Caenorhabditis elegans: one gene and its partner. The protein of the gene in region 1 purifies or fractionates together with the protein of each later gene. This does not show direct contact. Each region holds a gene or a part of one and is shown on either strand. Other genes may lie near its edges.

Region 1 (5,602 bases):
AGTTATTTGGGCTTTGGCTTTTGTGATAAGAATTCGGAGAACTACTTGATAACTGTGCTCACTGAGCAGAATAAATAATTTTATGCGGTTCTGTACAGGGTTGTCTATTTTTCGCCTACCGCGTGTCTGCCTGCCTACATCCTTCCTCATACTTGCTTCATACTTACATGTCTGGCTCATGTGTGTGCCTTCGTCTACTAGATGCCTACCTACGTGCCTTCCTACATTCTTACTGCATGACGTCATATGCAACTCGCTCATGTCTGCCTACTTTACTGCAACCTACATACCTACCTACTTACCTGCCTGCCTCATGTTGGATTATAAACCTGCATGGCGGTTACACATTACATTCGTGCCTATTTACTGCCAGCCAACGTGTCTGCCTACGTGCCTACTTTACGCCTACCTAATTTCTTTTCTGCATACAATATATCACGTACCAGGATACCTACATCCTCATGCCGACGCATAAGTATACTTCAAGCCTGCCTATAATTAATTCCAGTTAATTTTCATTCATTCAAACATGCAAATAGATCCTTAAAAAATAAAATAAGAAATCAGAGTTAAATATTTACATCGAATCAGGATGACACCACGAGGAACACCAGTAAATCTCGAACTTGTTGGTTAACATCACCGATCATGACATTCTGGAATAAGATTTGGATTTTATTGAGCAACATGTTTTATCAAGATTACTTGTTCAATGTCTCCGAGTTTCTCAATTTCTTCCTCGACTTTTTTCAGAAAACTGGCAAGCAACGGAACCTTCATCCACTTTAGAAAATGCGTCAAAGTTTTCAAAAAATCTTTTGCTGGTGTACTCCCATCTGCATCTTTCGTTTGGAACTTTCCAGTGATATTCTGCAACATCGACTCCATGGCATTGATGAATAGTTTCAACGGAATCATCTGAAGAAAAAGATAGAATTAAACTGAAAAGTTGATATTCCTCAACTACCTTATCCGCCGGTCCAACGCGAAGTTGTTCAATCTCATTTAGCAACTCATTTAAAAGTTCCGATTCAAGAGAAATGAGCATATTGTCCAACTTGTCAAGTACATTGAGCATCGAGATCTTCGGATATTCAGATCCTTCCACATCAGCTTCTTGTGCCTTGTTATTGTTGACTGCATCACACTGTACTTCGGACTCATCAACGATCTCTAATTTCGGCGCACTTTCGACAACAGTTGTAAAAGTCTTGAGCAAATCAATAATTTGTTGAGCCTTGTGCTTGTCAACATTCCCTTTTGTGTCATCAGAAATCTTAACCTTCGGAGCTCTATCGATAACAGTCGCAAAACTCTTCAGCACATCGTTGTACGATAAGCGCATCCGAGTGAATTCTTCGAAATTGAAGGAATCATCGAAGGATCCGGCAGTATCCATATGAGGAGTCTCCTGACGACTTGAACAACCTTCTCCGTCTCGCCTGCTCCTTTTACTGTAGTTTCCACTGGATCCTGTGTTGCCTGAGTTCGCTCCAGTCGCTCGAGTCTTCCATGCTCTTTTTCTTCCTTCATGTTGACCTTTGAGTTTCATTTTTCCATCGTTTGCGACATACTCAATGATTCGATTTTGATCATCCAATCGAACAATTCCCTGTTTTTCAACTCTGAAATTCAATTCCAGCCAATGAGGTTTAACTCGAAATTATGCTTACTCGGAAAGAAAATTCGCCTCCATCTTCCCACTCAACGCAAACATCATACGGATGCGCAAATCGATTGATAAGTTGTCCAAAAGAATCATATTCCGGGCCACAACTCCATGGAATCTAAATCAAAAACCTCGAAGACAATCAAGAAAATTCTTTTCACCTGCCCCTATAGGTGGTAACATCAAGTACACCATGCTCGAGAGCACGAAACTCTCCGAACACCCTCCGCTGATCAATTGGTTCGTTGGACTTTTCAGTCTTGTTCACAAGAAATTGGACAAATCGGACAAACTCGGGGCTTTCTATATCTACTGAGCAACGACCATGTCTTCCTTGCAATTTAAGCTGTTCATCAAATGATGTGAATTTCCAGATTCGCTTTTTGTCGTCGAGCTGAACGATACCAAGCTGTTCGATTCTGAAAAATTGTATTTTTATGGTAGTAACGTTATTCCACATAAATGCTCTCTTTAATGTGATATTATAGCGACACAGAAAGATGAGTATTTTGAAATCATAACGCGATCGCGCTCTACGGTCAAACGAGAACGTTCTGCCCATTTTTTTTTGGGTCTCGTTTAGTATATTATTACACTCAAAATAAAAAACTGCGTGGCGTGTACTGCAGAAAACCTCATACTTAGGCCCCGCCTTTTTCTCGTTCACTCACGGAGAAAAGGCAAAATTTTGGGCACCAACCAATATCAGGCCGCGGACATCCTACGGGCTCCGCGCGCCGCTATGTTTAACTCGCAGTGGGTGTGGCGAGCTGTCTCCGCCCGCTGCGAGTTGAACATAGCGGCGCGCGGAACCCGTAGGATGTCGGCGGCCTGATATTGGTTGGTCCCCAAATTTTTGCCTTTTCTCCGTGAGTGAACGAGAAAAAGGCGGGGCCTAAATATGAGGTTTTCTGCAGTACACGACACGCAGTTTTCTTATTTTGAGTGTATTTGGTGGCAAATCGTAAATTCGAGCAGTTTTAAAAATTATTATCGCCAATTTCTCTTTAGCATTTTTCGAATATGAATATTATCACGGAATTCTGGCTTCCCTCATAAATTGAAATGGAAGAGTTAGCTAAACTAGGCCATTTTGGCTTGGCCGTATCTGGGGTAGATTTACGGCGCGTTGCGTGTCGCGTCGCGGCTCGTTTTTAGTTGTAAAACTGATGTAATTGTCCGTGTGAAGAAAACATAAATAACATGACTATGTTCTTCTTTTGGACAAAAATATTCACTTGGAAAAGCTGATAAATCTTCATTTTTTGCATTTCCTGATTTTGTTCTCACCTTGTAAGAAACTCATTCTCTACTGATTGACTTAGAACGAACATCAGTCTCACACGAGCTCCTACACTATATGCGTTCCACAAATGAATCATCGGGGCAAGCTCATTGCGGAATCTGAACCGATAATTAAGAAACGACAAATAATAATAATACTCTGCTCACCTCTCAAAGTACATAGATGAATGTGTACTAGAATTTTCACGTTTCTTGAATTCTTCGAAAACTTGTGTGGCCGACATTGGTTTCACGAAGTCTTTTGTGTGCTGCATCAGGAATTCCATGAATTTCTTGCATTTCTCATCATTTAGTTGGCCATATTGATTATCTTCAAGGATAAGACTTTCATCGTTTGAAACGAATTTCTCAATTCGTCTGTTTTCATAGAGCTCGACGTTTCCCAAGGATTGCATTCTGTAAATTATTTGTTCTCACACTGAAAATGTCATTACAATCCCACCTTGCAAGGAATTCATCCGAAACTTTACCAGATAAAGCAAAAAGTAGTCGAATCCGGCTCTCGACACTGTATGTATCCATGTTACTTATTTGTGGACAAAGTTTTTGATGGAATCTAAAACATGAGTTTTAAAAATATCCAGACTAACAACTCCTACCGGGAAAGATAGGTCGAATAGTTGAGCCCAAAGCGCTCACTGAACTTTTTAAGAAGAGGGCATAACTTGATTCGCTCCGTAGCATGTTCTGTTGAATCAATAAGAAAATCCATTTGTCGCTTCAAGTCATCATTGAATATGAACTCCATTTAGTTTGAAATAAAAATATTTAGTAAGTTGAGGAAACCTCTTCCACGTGCTCGCCGTGCGACGGGAAAATTATATGTAAATATATTTTTTATTTTTTTAAATTAAAAATAAAAAAAAAAAAAAAAATTTTTAAATTAATTAAAACGTTTTCAACTTTTACCTAAATTTTTAGAAATCAAGTTTTCAGCATACCTTCTATTGTTTTCTATATGTAATAAAGTTATATTTGCATGCGTTCTTTAATCAGTTGTATACCAGCAATGAAAACTTGATAAAGTCTGGAAAACTTTATTAATGATGAACTTCTAAGAAACACTTCAAGCCTGAACGATTTTGTCAAACGATGGCCTGGAACACTTTTTATGAGTGTATAGAGGGATCCGACGGACATCGGACCATTTACTTTTCTCCTCCAATGCACCATGGAGCAGTTTATCATGGACAACGTTATAGAAACTCTCGTTACATCGTATTTCCCCTCAAACACCTCACCATTTCTGAGTAACGAGGATAGTGAATTGAATTTTATGTTTAAAAATATCAGGAAGATGATTTCGATAGACGATGGTTATGAGATTTTCGGTCCAGGTGCACTTCTGTTTCCGAATCCAACATGCTTAAAATTGAAGACTCAAATTGTATCCTTGGAGGGGATGCATAAACAAAATATATATGAACTTCAAAATTTGCGTGTATTTGAACAACAATTAATGGTGTGGGGTGAAGAAAAGAAAAAATTGAAAGAACAAATCGAACGGCTAGAAAAATTGCTTGCCAAAAAGAATCCGGACAGGGAAAGTTTTGAGCAGCACACCAATCATCTGCACGTATGAATGAGCAGATGACAAACGAGTTTCAGGAATTTGTAACTTGTTTGCATCAGTGTAGCAATGACGTTTGTATATATTCAACTATTTCAAAGTATTGTGAAACAGTAAAATATTTTAAAGATTGGTATGTTCTAATTTTGCGACACATGTTCCCAGGAGGCATCGAGAAAGGGGACATCGCGTTCAAAGACGGCATTGGGAAGAATTTTTGTAGGTTTCAAGTAAACATTATGAAATTGTCTATTTAATAAAAAAATATTACTCTAATATTCTTCTGATGACTTGGTGACGATTTTTGAGATCATAACCCTTATGAACTTTTTTGGACATTTTTTTTGTGGACTGATTATAAAGAACTGTTTAGTAATTGTAAAAAAATGCAAAATTTCCGATGTTATGGGCATTCTTGAGATTTTTTATTTCTAGATATAACTAGTACATTGTGGTCAACTTATGACGTTTATACCTCTACAAAAAAGTCAACAATAAACTTGTTGCTCATTATATTGCTAACAACTTTTAAGTTGGCAACTTCTCTTATATCACATACGGACAGAGTTAAAAGCTGTAGAAAGTATAACGTCTTTGTGTTCTTTTGAAAATTTCATTGATTTTTTGTTAGAGCATGAAAACTGAACACCCAAAATTGTGTGAAAACTATTTTCTGCAATATCTACAACTTTTTTCAAAAACTTTTTTTTTGGTAATTGAAGTGTTTTATATTGCAATTTTCTAATATTGATTTTAATTACAAGAAAAAACATAGGACTTGAAAAAATACATTTATTTTTAATTTTAGGACAACAAATTGAACTCTGCAAGATTAAACTGGAACTCGGTGTTGTGACTTGGGTCCTGTGGTGCCACTGCATCCCAACTTGGCAGATTTCTAGGTGATTGCCAACATGAGAAAAGGATTATCTCTGAAAATTGCAGTTTGAGTGTTTAAATGATGGAGGAAGAACACTATTCTAGGAGAAAATAGATGTAGCGAAAATTGAGCAACTTCAGAAAGCTCTAGAACCGGAAAGAGAAACGCATCAACATCA
Region 2 (6,221 bases), on another chromosome or scaffold:
AGTCTAAACCCATATAGAAAGAACGAATATACTATTATTGCCACTGACAATATTCCAGACAATGAACACATTATCTCGGGGACGATGTACAAAATATGCGTTGCAATACTTCTATTAAAAGCGCATGCCGATATTACCATACTTGCATGGCTCATTTTTGAGTGTCCTGGAATTTGGAAAATTCAAATATTCGAAAATGACGAAACGAAAAAAAGTGAGTAAAGTGAAAATATTCAGGTAAGAGAGTTTGAAATTCGATAACTTGTAAACTACTTGAGTAGGCGGCAATATTTGACTTTGAATTCTCTTGGTTCTAAGTTGCAAATGAATGAGTGAATAAAAAGAATAAAGATTACAGAGATTACGAGGAAAGAAACAAAAAGGCGTGTAACGGAAATATGGTTCCTATTCTGGACATCAGACATTCGATATTCTTTCCGTGTTTCCAGAACTCTCTCGGGCAAACACCTACATATACTCAGTTGTTGTATGTCAGTAAAACTTGCATGTCTCATTATTATTATAGATCAGATATTCAAAGAGCGATTGTTACGCAATGAGCATAAGAAGGCGATGAAAACATGTAAATTAAAAAATCAATAAATTTGGATTATATGAGTATTTGTCAACAAACAAAGTAAAAATTTACAACATCCTTGATCATCACTCATGTACACTGAGTACGATCCACTGATACTTGAATACCAATTTTGAAATAGTCTTAACCACTTTTCGGAAAACGATATAACTAAAAAACTCCTAAACAAATTTTTCATCTCGATTATTTCAGTTCAAAGTTCTTTGAGAGATTATTAAGTTCATTGGACATTGCGTGACAAATTTCCTTATCAACGTTTCATGTCTACGAAACCGAATAAACTTAAGACGTAGGTATGAATAACCTCACTCTTGAGATTAAGTGGGTGGTATTAATGTCTGGACGGGATGATGTGAGCAGAAAATGCTCAAGTGAGTTTCATTATGTAACTTAATCACAAAAAACCGAAATTATTAAACTGTTTCGGTTAAGTAGATTACCTTCAAAAAATAAATGAAAATTGACAAAAAAAACCTTATAAATCAGAATATGTATCAACTTTTTTTTTTGTTATTTCAAATAAAATTTAACTCAATTTTTTCTTCCCCAGAAATAAACTCATCTGAAAATACTTGCAAAAAATGGATACTCGTTTATTCTTGGAAGGAACATGCTTCACTGGATTCCGTGTGTGAAAAACCGGAAAAATACTTTAAATTTTTTAACTGAAAAATAATTTTTAGAAAACAACAAATAAGAAACTTCATCACGCCCACCTTCTGATTGCGTTATCTAAGCTCTAAATTTAATTTCAAAACTGATCAGTCAAATTTTTCTATTTGTGAAGTTGACGCGTAAAATCAACGCTTTTAATTTTTTTAAAAGAAATAAAACAAAGTTATACTGCAAGCTAAATTTTTTTTCTTGAAGTTTCCTACAACTATAAAAATAATGCAGTTTGCGCCGTGATCACGCAGTATTTTGATTCAAATCGGAGAGGATTTTTTTTGAAAAATATCATGTTCTATTTATTGAATCTGAAATTTGCAACAAAAAAAAACTGTAAACCAAAAATTAACAACTTGAAATACATGAAGCTCAAGGAGGAGCAAAATACCAAATCGCTTCCGGTTTGAAACAAGATGAAAAACTAATTCGATAAATGCCTTATGATATTAATTTTCTTTATGCTCATCATGTTTGCAACAACTACCAACTAGCTCTTTCTTAATGCACAATAGAGGGTTGCATAACGACACCATGCGATAGAATAGACAGCTTGAACCGAGGGAAACATTTTAAATGCAAAGAGAGGAGAAACAGCTTTGTTAAGTGGGAAAGAAGCTCATATTGTCTTGGAAACATGCTACAGCTAAGCCCGTTTGCTAGTAACTGTTTATTTTTTACAAGTTTTGCTATAGTCACTACTCTATTTGGGAAACTTTTGTAAGTGGGAAAGTGGTACATTTTTTAATTAAAAATATAATGATAAGTCTATTGAAAAATATTTTGTTCAGTTACAAAAATGCTCCAACCCACTTTTTTTCTAAAACTGGTGTTAAAACAATAAAAAACGGAACATAGAATTTACACCACAAAAAAGGTTCTCAATTAAATTTTAAAAAAACGAAAAACAAAAATCAGCATTGTAATAGACTTTCTACAATTTGAAAAATACTGCTTGAATTTTTTATTTAAATAATCTAATAATGTACCAAAAGGGAAATACTAGTGCAAAAAATCTGATCATAAGTTTCCGAATACAAAAAAAATGTCATCGTTGGAAAAAAATCCCAAAAAAGTACACCATCTCTTTTGAAAAATTGTAATATTCTAAGTGCTTGAGCACGCGATTATAAGTACTCAAAGTGATTTTGTATAATAAACTAAAAATGTGTAAAAAGACAGTCAGAATTGTGAGCAACTAATTCGTAAATATAAACCCTTCCATTAACACACCAGTTAGAAACATGTATTTTTCTAGGGTATCGTTTTAGACAAGAGACGAGAAAAAGTAAGGGAATCAAATATTAATGAGAAGAGTCTGAACACAAACAGTTTGAAGAATATTTATGTTTTTTTTTAAACAAAACGACTGAAACAGTTTCAGATTACACATTGATATCAACAAAAGGACTTACAACCATGTTCCTGGAGAATGTGGCGTTATTCCTAATTTGCCAGGAATTCTTGGACTAACTACCAGTACCACGGGACGACTGTATATGACTACGGTATGTTGATTAATATGTACTCAACTATTGATATAAGTTCAGATTTGGAACATTTTTTTGCGATGTTCTGAAAGTTATCACAAACCTTTTAACATTTATCGATGAAAATGCAAAAATTCTTAGACGTGCAATTTTGAATAAGCTATGCAACATGATAAATTTCAAATGAAGCAATGCACTTTACTAAGTAGTCATGACGTTAAAGAGAAATACTTGATGTTTATTCCGATTTACGATGAGACAGAGAATAGAGTGAATGAATGTGTTTTAACCTTTTTCAAAAAGTTACAATAGAAATCATAGGAACAGTAGCAATATGTACATTTCAAAAAATACGGAAATTGATGTCTGGGAAATCTTAATTGCGATAACAGGTGAAAATGTGAAGTAGTTCACAAAAACAGAGCTTTTTCTTCTATTGCTCAATAAAAAGTTAAGGAATTGGATTATCTTATCAGAATATTGTAGAGCAAATACATAGGTATATTGCTCCAAAACACACTTATGACAGACTAACCAAATATCATCACAATTCATAATTTTCCAAAAGCGACTTAATGTTGAGAAACTGAGAAAGCAAGCGTCGTAAGAAATTTTGATTTGAAATTTGAACATAAATTTGAACAGAACTTTGAAACAGAATATTTTTATAGAACTCGAAAGACATCAATACAGACCAAACACATCTCTTCACATTTTACTCCGACAATCGTACCGCTCGAGAAATAGAGATTCGCGGCGGACCACCAAAATGGCGTCTGACACCAGGAGCATTAAGTATCAACAGTGAGACAAGTAATGTAAGTAATTGATGAGTTTTACTTGTCTCCAGCGCCACATGCATTCCAATAATTAACATGGCTTTGGGGTATTGGTGTTGGGCGGGAGATGTTTAATGCCAGAGCGTTTTTTTAAATTTCAGCCAAATGTTTTTGTGCACAATAAAAGGACCAACAATATCGATGTTTTTGAGACAAACGAACAGAATGATGCGTGGCAATACCGAAAAACATTCAAAGATGAGCAATTTGAAGGGTAGGATTATTTTTCTTATTTTTCAGTTGGTTCATGTTTTGAAGAGAGAAACTCTAAGTTTTTGATTAGATTTAAATGTTGAACTTTTTTGAAACTTGCTTCTTAAGCAAGTTTTCTACGTAATCGAGTTTCATTCCACATTTTTATTTCAGACTCACTGATATATCGGCTGCTGGTCTAAATTCGTTCTTTTTTGTTAAATCCAGTATATTTGGAACCAACTTTGCATTAAATATCATTGAACGGTGCAGTTTTTTTTTTTATTGAAACAGGACAGTAGAGTTTGGTAGATTTCTGCATTATCATCAAGGGTTGACTGTTTTTTTTCGCTTGTATGCAAACACTTTGTAAAAATAATTCATTGCACTTATCGGAAATTTCACGTTATTTCTTTTTTGGGTATTTTTTAAATCACTGTCTCAAGCAAAAATCCCAAATCCCACAAGAAAAAGCAATTTTCTTAAAATTTTTGTTTTTATTGTAATAATTAAGTCTAAAAACTCATGCTTCTGTTTTAACCAAATTTTTGTAAAGTAAATCTGGCTTTACAATCAATTTTCGGTATTCAAAATTTTTCAGAGTTGTACCGATTCCAACCGGTTACATTTATTTTGTGAGTGGAAATAATATACAACAAATATCCCGAGTTTCTTTCCCAACTGGCATCGTTTATGATTCTGTAAAAAAGTGGGTTTTAAAATGTGTTTTTGAATATTTGTTTTTTTTTTTAATTTGTAGATCAATTTTTGTTACGTCATCCACCAGAAACTCTATTTATCGAATGAAGGTGCAAGTCAAAAATGGAATTGAAATAGTTAGTTCGAAGGAGTACGATCTAGGCTGCTCGCCGAGCTCAATTTGGAAAGATTTTGATGGCTCATTTTTGATTACCTGCCATCCAGTTAAATTTCGGTAGGTTAAAGTTTTTGTTTGAAATGAAAAATGTCAAGTCGATAGTTTTCAGGTATTTACTCAGTCTATTTAATGTCATAACATCTTCACCATCTTTGATACTTCGAGTTGCTGTACCCACGGACAAAGATAAACCTCTGTGAGTTGTTTTCCTTGAAAAAAACAATTTCAAAATATTGAATATGTATTGATGAAATCAATTTCGTTTTTAAAAACTGATAAGTTAAGGCTCATATTTACACATCAAACAAATGTTCTATCACAAATTCCAAACGTCTTAATCAGCGCGTCTAATTGATAGTAAATTGAACACATTTGAAGAATAATGAAAATGAAAATACTTTTACATGTTTGTACGAAAATATTGTGACAAAGGAGCTGAACCACTTGAAACTTAAAACGCCCCCATCAGCGCGTAAAGAAAAAAACATATAAATTGCGTTCTGAATTATGAACACAAGACATAATTTATAGACTGAAATAAAATTCAACGCATCAAAATTTTGACTTGTAATGTAAAAAAAAAAGAAATTTATGTGTCATATTTGTCTGGCACTTTTTTGTGCAAAAATATTGTGGAAACGGGGAGAATTCACCAGTTACCAAATTTGAATGTTCGAAAAATTGACAAAACAGAAAGAAGCAGTCCTTTTGATTTGAAAAAGTTCTACGGCTAACAATGGATGCATTTGCATGCATCAAATGTTAATTATTTTCGGATAAAAACTCGAAAAATAAAATGAATCGACATCTTATATTTTTTATTATTCAGAACAATCACACAATTATACTCTAACGATGGTGCCACTATTTCCAACGCAAATGTGACAGTCCGAGCGGGAAGGAGTCTTCTTATTTCCGATGGAACTAAAATTCTCAATTGCCATTTATAAACTAGTTTTATTTGCATTGTAGTCGTTACAAAAATTTGAAATTATAAAAATGTATTAGGTTTCACTCTTGACGTCTCACAACTGGATGTTTCAAAACACTCTGATCGACTTGAAATCGTCGGAAAAAGTCGATGTTATTGTTGGGCACAATTGATTTGTCGTGAGGTCCATGACTAGTTTTATAGGAAACGGCAAACTCTCCACGCATTGAACTATCCCTATAAAATGCAAAATTTGTTTTTTTTATAGAAGTAACGAAACATACCTTATGATGAATTCTCCCGGTAGAACTAGTTGCCTACAGGCGTCTTCGTGTGACAGCGGACCATGGTAGCATGCAAGCATGTTCGGTGTGTACCTGTATTCTTGTGTCGACCTCTGAATAATTATAATTTTGCGAAAGAATGTTATTTAAAATAACCAGGCGAGTTTCCAACTGTAGCGCATTATTATGTCTTCGTTCATCGACACTTCGCAATTTTGTTGTAAGGTCATTCAGGGCGATGTCGTTATCCAACATGAAAACGTTGCACTCTCGTTTCTCAGTTCTTCCAATTTTCATCACAATGCCCAAATAATGACGTCCATCCTGAAATGTGAATTTTTGCA

What was found. The genes of interacting proteins can lie anywhere in the genome.
Region 2: the proteins of Y45F10C.1 (region 1) and poml-1 fractionate together in Caenorhabditis elegans (co-fractionation; one large-scale study listed by BioGRID). This does not show direct contact.

The regions. Positions count from the first base shown.
Region 1 is NC_003282.8:13,655,826-13,661,427, forward strand, and holds Y45F10C.1 (SPK domain-containing protein), read right to left. Parts: upstream 3,725-5,602; 5' UTR 3,723-3,724; coding exon 3,574-3,722; intron 3,531-3,573; coding exon 3,417-3,530; intron 3,371-3,416; coding exon 3,122-3,370; intron 3,074-3,121; coding exon 2,960-3,073; intron 2,089-2,959; coding exon 1,831-2,088; intron 1,788-1,830; coding exon 1,674-1,787; intron 1,626-1,673; coding exon 968-1,625; intron 919-967; coding exon 706-918; intron 657-705; coding exon 588-656; 3' UTR 503-587; downstream 1-502.
Region 2 is NC_003284.9:13,718,598-13,724,818, reverse strand, and holds poml-1 (PON (paraoxonase) and MEC-6 Like), read left to right. Parts: upstream 1-1,897; 5' UTR 1,898-1,901; coding exon 1,902-1,984; intron 1,985-2,648; coding exon 2,649-2,772; intron 2,773-3,425; coding exon 3,426-3,572; intron 3,573-3,694; coding exon 3,695-3,807; intron 3,808-3,959; coding exon 3,960-4,052; intron 4,053-4,386; coding exon 4,387-4,494; intron 4,495-4,545; coding exon 4,546-4,719; intron 4,720-4,771; coding exon 4,772-4,858; intron 4,859-5,467; exon of another isoform or gene 5,468-5,491; coding exon 5,492-5,612; 3' UTR 5,613-5,673; downstream 5,674-6,221. Other genes in the region: K11E4.6 (G_PROTEIN_RECEP_F1_2 domain-containing protein), read right to left, coding at 1-155; shc-3 (SH2 domain-containing protein), read right to left, coding at 5,674-5,830, 5,878-5,990, 6,034-6,201.